3 linked regions of the Nothobranchius furzeri genome follow. The protein of the gene in region 2 interacts with the protein of the main gene of each other region in a biochemical or structural test. Links are inferred from orthologs where the notes say so. Each region holds a gene or a part of one and is shown on either strand. Other genes may lie near its edges.

Region 1 (4,202 bases), on a different chromosome or scaffold from region 2:
ACTCGAGGACCGTAAGTGCGGCCAGAAGAGTGAGGGATTAAAAGGTCTGACAAATATTGTGGAGCTTGTCCATTAAGAGCTCTAAAAGTCAGAACTAAATTGAATGTCATCCGCATATAAATTTTTAAATCAATTCTAAACTTGACCGGTAGCCAATGTAAAGAATATAAAACCGGTGTTATGTGAGCCCTTCTATTGGTTCCTGTTAAAAGCCTTTCTGCAGCGTTCTGGACCAACTGGAGACGACTGACATCTGATTTGTTAAAACAAGTAAAGATAGAATTACAATAATATAAACGAGAAGAAATAAAAGCATGGATAATCATCTCCAAGTCCGATTTTGAAGTAAAAGCTCTCAATTTGGAAATGTTTCGCAAATGATAAAAAGCAGTTTTTTACTAAACGTTTTGAGTGGCAGCTCAAAGACATGGATTGGTCAAGAAGAACACCAAGGTTTCTGAGACTGGTCTGGACTGAGGAGCTCAGGGAACCGAGGTGTTTGATTAAAAGCACTTTCTGTTCAGGAGCAATGATCAGTGTTTCGGTCTTGCTTGAGTTCAACTGAAGACAGTTACTGGCTAGTCCTTAATATGCTCAATGCAATCAAGTAGATCAGCTAACTTGTTAAACTCTGTGTCCTTGAAAGAGCAGTACAGTTGAATGCCATCTGCATATAAATGGTAGGACACTTTAGTAAAGCTTTTAATAATCTCCCCAAGAGGGCAAATATATAAAAGGAACAAAACTGGGCCAAGGACCGAGCCCTGGGGAACACCGTGAAGCAAAAATGTGACTTCAGACCTAATCTTGTTTACACATACAGAGAATGTTCTGTTATTTAAATAGGAAGAAAACCACTTCAGAACCGTACCAGAAATTCCTAGGACATTGTGTAGTCGATGTAACAGAATTTTATGGTCAACCGTGTCAAAAGCTGAAGACAAATCCAATAAAACCAGTACAGTACATGGGCCAGAGTCAGTACATCATTAGATACCTTTAACAGAGCTGTTTCAGTGGAACAGTGCATCTTACGAAAGCCTGATTGGAACTTATCTAAAACATTATTAAGATAAGATGACTGCTTAGCTATTTGTGTTAGCAAGCAGTTCATCAAGTGTTCTTAAGGAAATGACCAGCGACTGTGAACGCTGCACCTCACCGAAGCTCATTTCCTCATTTTTAATTTAATTTTCCACAAAAAAATATTTAAAAATCAATCTTTAATCAATTAACGGCAATTTGGGGGTGGGCAGTGGGGGGGGGGTGCCCCCCTCTGACCTGACTTAGGGGCACCCCTGTTGAAAGTGAGATGACATTCATCTTCTTCAGGAGCTTTTTATTCTAATCACAAGAGGAAGACAAGTTCTCCTGTTTGCTGCTCTAACTGGTGATAAATGGCAACATGAGCTGAAGATCAGAAAATTCCGAGTTTGTTAATGATCGTCTGAAACGTGATGAGGTGTGAGAGGCGGGTCTCATTCCCGGTGGTGCGTTCACGTTCTTGTTTATGTATCAGCGGAATCGCAGAGCTCAGTGCAGGAATGTTGAGACTCTCAACATCCTGATTTCTCTGAAAGGTAAAATCTAGCGTCACCAGACACGCGCACAGTGAGCTGGAGTCGGTGCCGCTACAGGATTGCTCAACGCTTGTGTCATCAGGAGGCTGGACTGGTCGGGCGGAGTGTTTCAGAGCTCATCACCGGAGCTTCTCACTCTCAGCCTCTCTCTGAGTGTGAGGCGGTCTCCCCTCCTCTCCCCCGCTTTCTCTTTCTCTCCCTCTCTCTCTTTTCTTTTTTTTCCCTCCTTGATTGTGGATTTTTTTTCTGATCCAAACCTCAAAAGGAAGAAGAAGGACGCGGTCTGGATTATCAGCCAACGCGTAAAGTTTGATTTGTGCCAGCTATGAGACGGAGTGGGTTCTAACCACCAAGGGACGCATCTTTTTGCTTGATTTTATTCACATCTATATCATTTTATCTTCATGGCGAGCCGGTCGTTCAGGATGAACTTGCCGTGGAGCAGTCCTGCACCCTGCACCCGGAGAGTCGCGCACAAGCGGCTGGACTCGGACGACCAGCCGCCGGCCAAGTGCGCCCGGCTGAGCGCTGAGGCGGGGGACGCGCAGGGACTCCTGGGTACGTCACCCGGGTCCCCGCTCAACCCCGCGGCCAACCCGGCTCCCCACCACCAGGGACCGTCCAGGATAGGTCCGTTCCTCCTGCTGCCGCTCGCGGACCGGGAGAGCATGCACAGTGCGATGAACACCGATACTGGCGATGAGCTGCTGTGCAAGGTATGCGCAATCAGGTCATTGTGCAATTTCTTTGAATGAATGATGTTGCTCAACAGTCCGTCTGACACGCTATCCGTATTTAGCTCACCTTTTCAGCAAAATGTCATCCTCACGCTCCCTTTGCGTAATAATGTTTCTTAATGCTTCCCCCCTTATAACCAGAAGTCTTTTAAATACGCAATCAAGACCAGCCGTCGCCTTTCTGCATGTTGTGGAAACAGTCTCCCATGCTCAGCATTCACACTGTCTCTCAACTCGGCTCATTTGCATACACGTCACTGCCAAGCCGTGACAGTAAAATGCAACATGTTCAGCAGAATAATAATAATGCAAGATTAGAATCTATCCAGATAAAAACTCATATCTGCACCAGTATGAGGCATCAGGTGACGTAATGCATTAAAAAAATCCCAGCCTGATTTAGCTTCAAGTAATGGTGACCGTCATAAGTATTCACGATTAAATATGAATATCTAAATCTAAATATTTAGAATAAAAATCTAAATATTAAGCAATTAATGCAAAATATTTACAATCAAATCGAAACATTATATTTTTAAGGCTAAATTCTAAATATTTACAATGAAATCTAAATATTAAGAAATCAATTCTGAATATTTAGAATCCTGTCTAAATATAAGTTATGTCTAAATATTTAAGACAAAAATCTAAATATTTATTATAAAAATCTAAAATTTAAGCAATGAATTCAAAATATTTAGAATCAAAAATGAATATGAAAAGTTACTTCTAAACATTGAAGTTTCTAACCAAAACATTTATAATCCAATCTAAATAAGTAATCAAATCAAACATTTAGAATACAATTACATTTAGTACATAAAGTTCCATCTAATTAGCAACAATCTAATCAAAATATTTATATTCATGTAAAAATCTAAATATTTAGAATCAAATACAACAACAGTGCTCAAATTCATATACACCTGCAGAATTTTGTTTAAACAATTGTTGCTTTCTGTAAATCCTATAAACTTTGTTTCACATATCACTCCTAAACCCACTTTTTTTTAGGTTAATTCCTTTTCACAAGCCAGAATTCCAACAGTCACATTTTCTAATTGGTGCCCCATACTCCAGATTCTGTTTAGGTTTGCATGAAAACAAAATCCCTGGAGGCCTTTTTGATTATGAATTCAATCATTTAACAAAACACTTTTGCAAAAAGCAGCCGTTGAAAATCATACATGTAATATATATTTATATTTGCCCACTTGTTACCTCCTATGATAGGAAGACTGACTCTTATTGCCTCCTTCCTTCATGTTTCCACTCTGCATCCCTACACCTCCCCTTCCTCCTCTCTGATCTCTCCGCTAGGTCTTTGACATGGCAGCCTACCTGGAGAAGATCAGAGCCTACGGGCTTCTACCAGCTCACAGAAACGTGGCTGGCATCCGGGACATCATCCTTGGTGAACGCAAGGCCTACATCTTCCTGGACAAAGACTTTGGGGACATGCACACCTTGGTGAAGAGCTGTCGCCGGCTGGATGAGGGACACGCCTGCAGGCTCTTCCGCCAGGTGGCTCAGGCTGTGGCGCACTGCCACCAGAAGGGAATCGTGCTGGGTGACCTCAAACTGCGCAAGTTTGTCTTTGCAGATGAGAAAAGGTGAGCCGATCTGATGTTTTCTTTATGGAGGCGAGAACCGTTGTGCTTTTATGTTGATTCAACCAGCAGAAAGCACAGAAGATGACTTTTAGGTTTTTAAATGATCACACACAAAAATTCAGCTTGAATTTCACGTCGAAAGAAGTTCGACCTTTGGGACAAAGTTGGCTGCAATCTGCAAATTTACCACTAGATGTCACTACATCCTGAAAGATGTTCCATGGACGAAAAAACACTAAGATTTGATTTCAACTTTTCTTTCTTTTCTGAGC
Region 2 (4,094 bases):
GAGATATGCAGCTCTAGGATGAGAAGAGGCTTCATGAGAGTGGCAGTTATATCTTGAAACCTCCTCTGGACTCTCTACAGCTTCTATTTGCTGCAACTTTTGACTTCATCTTAATCAACAATCAAAAAAGAACCAGTTGCTTAAGGGTCACAGCTGGAGATGTGAAGCTGAATGATGCTGGAACTGGACCAGTTCTGGTTTCACCAGCTCTTTATGCCTGTACAAAAACAAACAACCATGATCAGATTGGATCTTCTCAGGTTTTAGGTACTTAAAAGATTTCATATGGTTTTTTATTGGACCATGTTCCTGGATTAACCAGACCCAGAGATTCTGTCTCAGTGGGGGATTCCTCACATCTCAATACATCTCCTGAGGAGTGCGTCAGATGTTCACGTTCAGGTTCAGATAAAGCTATAGGACCAGTTCAGATTCTGCAGAGCCTAAAGATTGATCCCAGGAACCCATATCACAAATGTTCAGAGATAGTTCTGATGGGTTCTGTGGTTCTATGATTGTGATGTGTTTATAGTAAGACAAGTCTTTATATGTGTCTCGGATGTCAGTGAGACAGAGACACATGTCCTCTCAGGGAGACAATCAGATGGGGACTATGTGGTTAAAATATCACTCTTTATTTACAACGAAATAATAGACTTATTACAACTATTTGGGCTAATTTCTAATTTTACATGTTGTACTAAAATGATACTCATTAAAACAAACACACTATCTTTATGACGAGGAAATGGCATTTTAACCGACCCTTATTTATGCTAACAGGAGTTATGCTAATGTAGCCAACAGCGTTACCATGGAGACCACCAGCTATGCTAGCAGAACAGAGCTAACAGCATCTCTGTCATGAACACAGGATCCAGCGGTTGTTTTTGAAGGAGAAAAGGTCCTTCAAAGGTCTCCAAGATGGTGCGAGATGTTCTGGATCTCTGCTCGGTTCTATACGGTCTGAAACGAACCAGAACCAACATCAGACCAGACGGTGTCTGTCTGCGTCCGACAGAGGGCGCTGCATCCCGCATTTTACACGCACACACACACGCGCGCGCGCGCGCGCGCGTGTGTGTGTGTGTTTGTGTGTGTGTGAACGCGCGCACATACACAGAGGTATGGCAGGCATTTACTTACGCGCATAAAAACATGCGTGCGCACACACAGGACTCTTTTGTGAAACAAACAAAAGTTTTATTCTAATTTAATTCTGGTTAATTTACCTTTTTTTAAGTAAACGAAACATCAGTCAAGCGTTTTGGTTCCGATGGGGTGGTGCAGTTCGGGAGACGATCCGCATCAGGTGATCAGAACCTTTAGTCTAGGAGCGAGACCCAAACTCCTTAAACAACACTTGGGATCATGATCGGTTCCGAGAACCTGCAGGGTTCTGTTGTCCCACCCGGGTCCCGGAGGGGTTCGAGTCAGACAGACTGAAGGAGTGTGGTGTTGTCCCCGCCCACCCATTCCAACTATAAAACCGCTGTTTGACAGCTCGGAGGTTACTGAGGACCAGGAATCGGACCGGCAGCTTCTCTTCGTTCCAACACAAAGTGTCAGTCAGTCCTAAAGACTCTGGTTCCGGTCGGCTCCTGTCCGCAGCGGTCCGACTCACCTGAGTGTGTGACTTTCCAAACTGGATTTCCGGAGCTCCTCGCCATGCCCGCCCGGCTTTAGGTTCTCCATGGAGCTCTCGAACCTGTACGAGGTCGCGCCCCGGCCCCTGCTGAGCAGTCTGCCCCACGGCCAGCAGCCCCCCTCCGGCTATAGAGACCCGTCTGACCTCGGGGGGGAGATCGGAGACAACGAGACCTCCATAGACCTGAGCGCCTACATCGATCCGTCTGCCTTCAACGACGACTTCCTGGCGGACCTGTTCCACCACAACTCGCGACAGGACAAAGTCAAGATGATGAATGGAGAGTATGACTGCGGTCCGGGTCCACAGCAGCTCTACATGCCTAACTACATGGAGTCCAAGCTGGAGCCGTTCTACGAGCACAACCCGCCGCGCCTCCGACCGGTGGCCATAAAGCAGGAGCCCCGGGATGACGAGGACCTGAACCCGGGCATGCCCCCTTCCTACCACCACCCGCACGCGCATCCTCAGCAGTACCAGCAGCAGCAGCAGCCGCAGATGCCGCACCTGCAGTACCAGATTGCGCACTGCGCGCAGACCACCATGCACCTCCAGCCGGGCCACCCGACGCCTCCACCGACTCCAGTGCCGAGCCCGCACCATCACCACACGCACCAGCACCTGCAGCAGGGCGGCATGAAGCTGCTCGAGCAGCGGGGAGGCGGGAAATCTAAGAAACACGTGGATAAGAGCAGTCCGGAGTACCGGCTGAGGCGCGAGCGCAACAACGTGGCTGTGCGTAAGTCTCGGGACAAGGCCAAGATGCGGAACCTGGAGACCCAGCAGAAGGTGGTGGAGCTGACGACCGACAACGAGCGGCTCAGGCGGAGGGTGGAGCACCTGACCCGGGAGCTGGACACGTTACGGGGCATTTTCAGACAGCTGCCGGACGGGTCGTTCAAACCCATGGGCAGCTGAGAGATCTGAATCGGACTGGACCGGAGAGTGCTGGATTTGTTTAGAGACAGAAGCAGCTGAGTTCTCAAAACAGCTGCACATATGCAGAACTTTTGGGTCAAGGAGCAGAAAACTTAACAGACCCGGTTCGGTTCCGGATGATTTTAATCTTCAGAGCAGCAGAACGGAACTCTTCCATCAACAAACTGAACCCGTTGGAGACTTTTAACTTGTTTGTTTGTTTATTTGTTTGTCGTGTTCTCGTGCCTTTAACGTTTGTGCAAAAGCCGATAAGCTGAATCAGATGTTCAGTGCCTTAAACAGACTGAGTCCAGAACCACTCAGAACATTTCAGTGCAGCTACGATGAGGTTAGTGCGGGACCAGCCTGCGTGCACGACGCCTTCATTACAGAATTTTATTTAATCACAAACGATCTCATGTACGGAACCAAACCGGACCGAAACCTGTTTCTGAGCTGTTTGCTTGGCTGAACTGTGTTTTGCAGGTGATTGGCTGTTGACACCACGTGGTATCAAACTCACCTTCACACTTGCCAGAGATAAACTGTCTGGGGAGTTTGGGTCAGAGCCAGAACCCATGTTTAATAAAACTAGTTCTGAATGACCCTAGCAAAGCCAGGCTGAGGGTTGTTCGGTACTGAAACCGTTACAAACAGAACCGCCAAAGCCCTGCAAGCCCAACCCTGACCCTGTTCAGACTGAAGCTCTCATGCACTAAAGCCAGATACATTGTGGGACATGGGGAGGCAGTGATGGTACTGATCATGGGGAGGGGGTGTACTGATACAGGTTCTGGACAGAACCCAACAGAACTACGCCCCTCTAAACATGTTTTATTGTGATCAGAACAGCTAAATGTGAACCAGGTTTCAGCATCACTCTTCATCTTCCTGCTTGTTGCAGTCATCTTCACTCAGTGCCTTTTGATCGCTCAGATGACCTTTGACCTTTGTCCGATCCCTCAGATGGTTCTCTGACTTGTTCCAGGGAGGAAGAAAGAAGCACTTTGTTGTTTATTTCTGTAATATAAACATAAAATATAAATGAAAAACCAAAATCTGAAGTAATAAAGAAACTTGTTTTATCAAATTTGGTTCTGGTGTTCTTCTGAGAGTGTTCGGCTCTATGTGCACACACACACACACACACACACACACACACACACACACACACACACACACACACACACACACACACACACACACACACACACACACACACACTAAGTCAAAGATATTCATTTTTACTCTAAAACCAGCTGCTTAATGAGGCGTCAGACAGCTGATCTACTGGTTCCAGCTTCTGTTTCCTGTGTATTTAAATGATTATTATTCCCTCAGTTTGTGCTTTAAGGTTCTGTTTGTGTCATGACTCTGCTGCAGGCGACCTGCCATCATGTCGTAAAATCGGAACTCCCTCAGATGTTCCGAAGGAACTTCAATAATCCCTCAGGAAGGTTCCTCTGGAAAATTCAGCTTCCAGCAGCGGCACACAGAAAAGTTTCAACAACAAGACGAACAAAGGAGC
Region 3 (4,233 bases), on a different chromosome or scaffold from region 2:
TCGCTCTGCAGTAAAAAAAAAATACAGCATTCACTACTGGGTTGGAGAGCGCATTTTCAGAGTGGCAGATTAAATTTACAAACGCTATATTAATTGGGGGTGTTTCTGAAAATGTGCTCTGCAGTTAGAAAATTAGAATGCTGCTTTTTTTTTCCTAATTGCACAAGAGCGCATTTTCAGAGCAGATAAAATTTACAAACGCATCCAATTAATATAGTGTTCGTAAATTTCATCTGCTGCTCGAAAAATACGCTGTTAGAAAAAAAAGCTGCATTGAATGCTGTTTTTCTTTCTTTCCTTTCTTTTTTTTTTTTTTTTTTTTTACTACGGAACGCTTCCCACAGATAATTAGAATGCTGAGCCTTCTATCACGCTAAAACATCATGAAAGGTTAAAGAAAAAAAGTCGGCCTCGGGCTCGGGTTGGGCCAGAGAATCCTGAAAACTTTTTCGGACTGGTTTGGGCTGGGGCTCCACCCCCTCGGGCCGGGCGGACACGGGCTCAGATTTTAGGCCTGTGCAGGGCTGTAGTCCCAATTCTTTGCCCCCCCCCCCCCCCCCCCCCCCCCCCCCAATAATTGTTTACATTCTCCAACCACAACTAAAACTACAATGAAGACAGTTTAGGTGGAAAACAAAGTCATTTAAATTATTGATAAATTAAGATACAATAATGCTTTTAGTTATTTTAGAGTGCATCTGGCCCGTCTACTGTAAAAACCTCAGGACCAAACTTGGTTGAGGACTCCTGTTCTAAGGTAAAGAAATTAATTAAATGTTTAAAAAACTAACAATGGCAACTTTAAACTTATATGATGGTAGGCTAAAATGGAATTAATGTTTGTGAAATTAGATCTAATTGACAAGAAAATAATTTTATAAACACATTTTTTACAAACAAAAGCACTCCACATCCCTCTAAGATGACGTCAGGGTACGTCATCCATTTTGATCATGTGACCAGTGAGGGCTGCTCATTTAGTGTCTCCGTCTCATCCCAACTTCTGGTGATTTCTAACAACACGTTAAATTTAACAAACACCAGAAGTACTTTTGTGAACATTTTTATCTAATCTAAAGCGTTGGATTCATTCATAGCGGTCCCCTGTGAGAACACTGCAAGATAAGCAATAAAATAAAGAGTACAGTGCCACCCATTCGAAATAATCGGTGTATCATGAAGTCAAAAACGAACGCTCCTCTTACAACGCGGGAAACGCCGCTGTGTTGGTTCAGTTTTGTGGACTGAGCTGCGACCGTCGCGCTCCCCTTTTGAATTAATCCACATAATTACTATCGAGGCTGGGCACACATGCCCATATACCTGTTTTTGTGTTGTCGTTTGATCTGAGAGCGTTTCATCTTCTACACGAACCCCCTATCTCCCGCTCGGCTGTTTCCGGACTGGCCGAAGGGAGCCGGGGCGGCGGTTAGTGTCGGTTTGTCCCCGCGTTGCTCCTTAACATCGCCCCTCTGTAGCCACCGAGCCGCTGTCGCTGCTGCTGCTAGCGCGCACACAAAGAGACCAGTATTGCTAAGCAGCTAAACTTTAAACAGTCCCGCTCTTGTAAGCAAAATGGACTCATTTCAGAAAGTGGAGAAGATAGGAGAAGGGACGTATGGAGTGGTGTACAAAGCCAAGAATAAAGTGACCGGAGAAACTGTTGCTCTGAAGAAAATCCGCCTGGACACGTAAGTTAAGAGGCAGGAGTTATCTCCAGAGCTAACGCCGCGCTAAAAACATCCACTAATGCTTCAGATTTTTTTTTTATCCACGACCTCGTGGCTGGTGATCGTCTGCCCACTTCCTGCAACAACAGAAATAAGCGTTTCTCGTTAAACTGTAATTATTCAGTGCCTAATATAACCTCCACACAGGACTAAGTGACGTAGCATCCTTGGATATAACCCTGTAGGTTAGCTGGATATGTTTGTTTATGTTTATGCTTATGTGCTTAGCAGACGCTTTTACCCAAAGCGACTTACAATTTTTTGCAAGTCGCTTTGGGTAAAAGCGTCTGAGCAAGTGAAATATGTAACTATTTAAGGGAATTTTTCATTGTCTTGTGTTTTAGTCTACGATCAGATGTTACTAGTGAGTGATCAGAAGTAGTTTTCTGACTCTACATTGAATGCTATTCTGTTTCATTCCTTTGGTTGATTTATTAGTTGAATGGACATGTTTTATAGTTTTGCTGCTGTAGGAGGGTACCTTTCAGTATCTCAAGCTGTCAAACTACCAACATACCCAAACTTCAGCACTCTGAAAAAAGCATTTGGATCCTTATCGATGTCTTCCAACACAAATACCAGAGATGATCAAAGTAAAAACAGAAAGCAGTTTTCAAATGATGATTTAATTTATTTATTAAGGAAACAAACAACCAATCAACACCCTTAGCTGCATAAACATCCATCAAGCATCTGTGAGAACTAATAACAAGGCTTACATTGCTGTGAAGGATTCCTAGACCACATTTTTTTGACATTGTTTTATTCCAGCCAAACGAGTGGGTTGACATGTTTGAAGTCATGGTTCCATCAATTACAGTAAGTGGTCAAGGTCCTGAAGCAGCCCCAGACCATCACTCTGCCACCACCGTGTCTGACTGTTGGTATATTGATGTGTTTCTGAAGTTAGTTTTTCACCAAAATAGTCTCACCACTCCAGAGAATATTTTCAAAAAAGTCTCAAAGATGCTGTTGACTGAAAAACCATTTTAAATATGTTTTTCCTGATTATGGTTACTGAGTTTTTCATGCAGACTGAACATGAAAATAGTCTCCCACACCTTTCTCCTGCATTAGCTTCTGATAGAAAATAGACGGTGAAACTAGAATTAGAAAAGCCTGACAGATCTACGTCACACTGAATAACATTCATGGACTCACCCATCTTGGGTGTTGTTGGATTAGTGTCCAGTAAATTTTTTGTTCTAGTGTCCAGGAAACAGCAGAGAACTTCTCAGCTAATTCAAGCTAACCTTTAGCATTAGCAATGCCACCACACAGCCGAAGTTCCTCCAGCCTTGTGTTATTTGTGGAGATAAAATGTCTATGTTGCAAATCAGTGGTCGAGTTGCATTGCTGTTGTCCGATCCGGAGTGAGATGTCCAAATATCAGGAAAAAGACTCCAAATCCTGCCATCAGAAGGTCTGCTGTGATGTGGGCAAATTTTAGGTCAGAAGAATGGTGCACTGGGATATTTCTTCCCCCTGCAAACAACTTACTCGTCATTTATTAGTACTAGAGACTACTACAAAAATGCATTGATTAAACAAGTGTTCCACTTTCTAAAATATCATCAAGATGCTCTTTGGAGACGGTGAGATGGGTCTTTGTGTGGTCACCAGAGATGTTTTACGGAACTGTCCCATAGAGGCTTTTTTGTCTCATCTCTTTCTTATTGTTGAATTTGACCTTAAACTAGCAAAGGCACCATCTGCTGCTGTGTGGGATCATTTAGCGTACTCGATAGCCATGTTTCCACTATTGAAGTTCCAGGAAAACACAATGGATCAGTGTTTTCAGCCGTTGTGTCTGTACAAAATCAGCCTTTTCAGGACTTTGCAAATACGTCAGCATATCATCAGCATGTTTGCAATGAGTGACGTCACTGATCAGCGCGTCCATAGACAATTAAAACATTTTAAAAGTGTAAGAATATAGTAAGAATTTTACAGTGAGAAAGTCCCAAAAGAGTCTAATGTTTCAGTCATTTTGGAAGAAAGGTTACACTGAAACATATTTCATATCCAGCTGGTTGTGGGGATTGCCACTTTTTCTCCATTCAAAACAAAAGGAGGGTCGTAACTACTGTTTACCATCAGTGAGTGAGGGGGTGCCATATCTACTGCAAGCTAATACCGCAGCGCCGACAGTTGTAATTTGACAACTGCCGGCAAAAAGCACAGGATAAAATTTTGACTTCATTTCTACATAATGCACCTTTAAAATTTTTATTCCGTCAAAGTACGCCATAATTTAATCCGTTCGAGGTTAGGGTTGCAGGGATTAACCGGTTTGACTGTTAACCTCGGTTAACTCCCCGTACAGACGTATCCAACACCATCTATAAAAACAATAAAAAGACAATATGGCGTGAGCCGTTAGGACGAAAACAAAAGCGAAAATGAACGCGAGCATGCAGCAGAAGCAGTGACAACAACCATCGGGACCATTTGGGATATGAGGAGAGCAGCTGCGTGACATGAAAAGCATTTTGCGTTTTAC

The links.
Region 1: the proteins of cebpa (region 2) and trib1 form a complex in vitro, tested with the Homo sapiens proteins (2 studies listed by BioGRID and IntAct, with this or other methods). The link is inferred for Nothobranchius furzeri from reciprocal best matches to the Homo sapiens genes CEBPA and TRIB1.
Region 3: the proteins of cebpa (region 2) and cdk2 form a complex in vitro, tested with the Homo sapiens proteins (2 studies listed by BioGRID, with this or other methods). The link is inferred for Nothobranchius furzeri from reciprocal best matches to the Homo sapiens genes CEBPA and CDK2.

The regions. Positions count from the first base shown.
Region 1 is NC_091759.1:11,616-15,817, reverse strand, and holds the start of trib1 (tribbles homolog 1), read left to right. Parts: upstream 1-1,402; 5' UTR 1,403-1,984; coding exon 1,985-2,296; intron 2,297-3,637; coding exon 3,638-3,930; intron 3,931-4,202. UniProt on the Homo sapiens protein: Adapter protein involved in protein degradation by interacting with COP1 ubiquitin ligase. The COP1-binding motif is masked by autoinhibitory interactions with the protein kinase domain.
Region 2 is NC_091749.1:66,139,114-66,143,207, forward strand, and holds cebpa (CCAAT/enhancer-binding protein alpha), read left to right. Parts: upstream 1-1,294; 5' UTR 1,295-1,693; coding exon 1,694-2,566; 3' UTR 2,567-3,656; downstream 3,657-4,094. UniProt on the Homo sapiens protein: Transcription factor that coordinates proliferation arrest and the differentiation of myeloid progenitors, adipocytes, hepatocytes, and cells of the lung and the placenta.
Region 3 is NC_091743.1:49,088,353-49,092,585, reverse strand, and holds the start of cdk2 (cyclin-dependent kinase 2), read left to right. Parts: upstream 1-1,433; 5' UTR 1,434-1,575; coding exon 1,576-1,691; intron 1,692-4,233. UniProt on the Homo sapiens protein: Serine/threonine-protein kinase involved in the control of the cell cycle; essential for meiosis, but dispensable for mitosis. Phosphorylates CABLES1, CTNNB1, CDK2AP2, ERCC6, NBN, USP37, p53/TP53, NPM1, CDK7, RB1, BRCA2, MYC, NPAT, EZH2.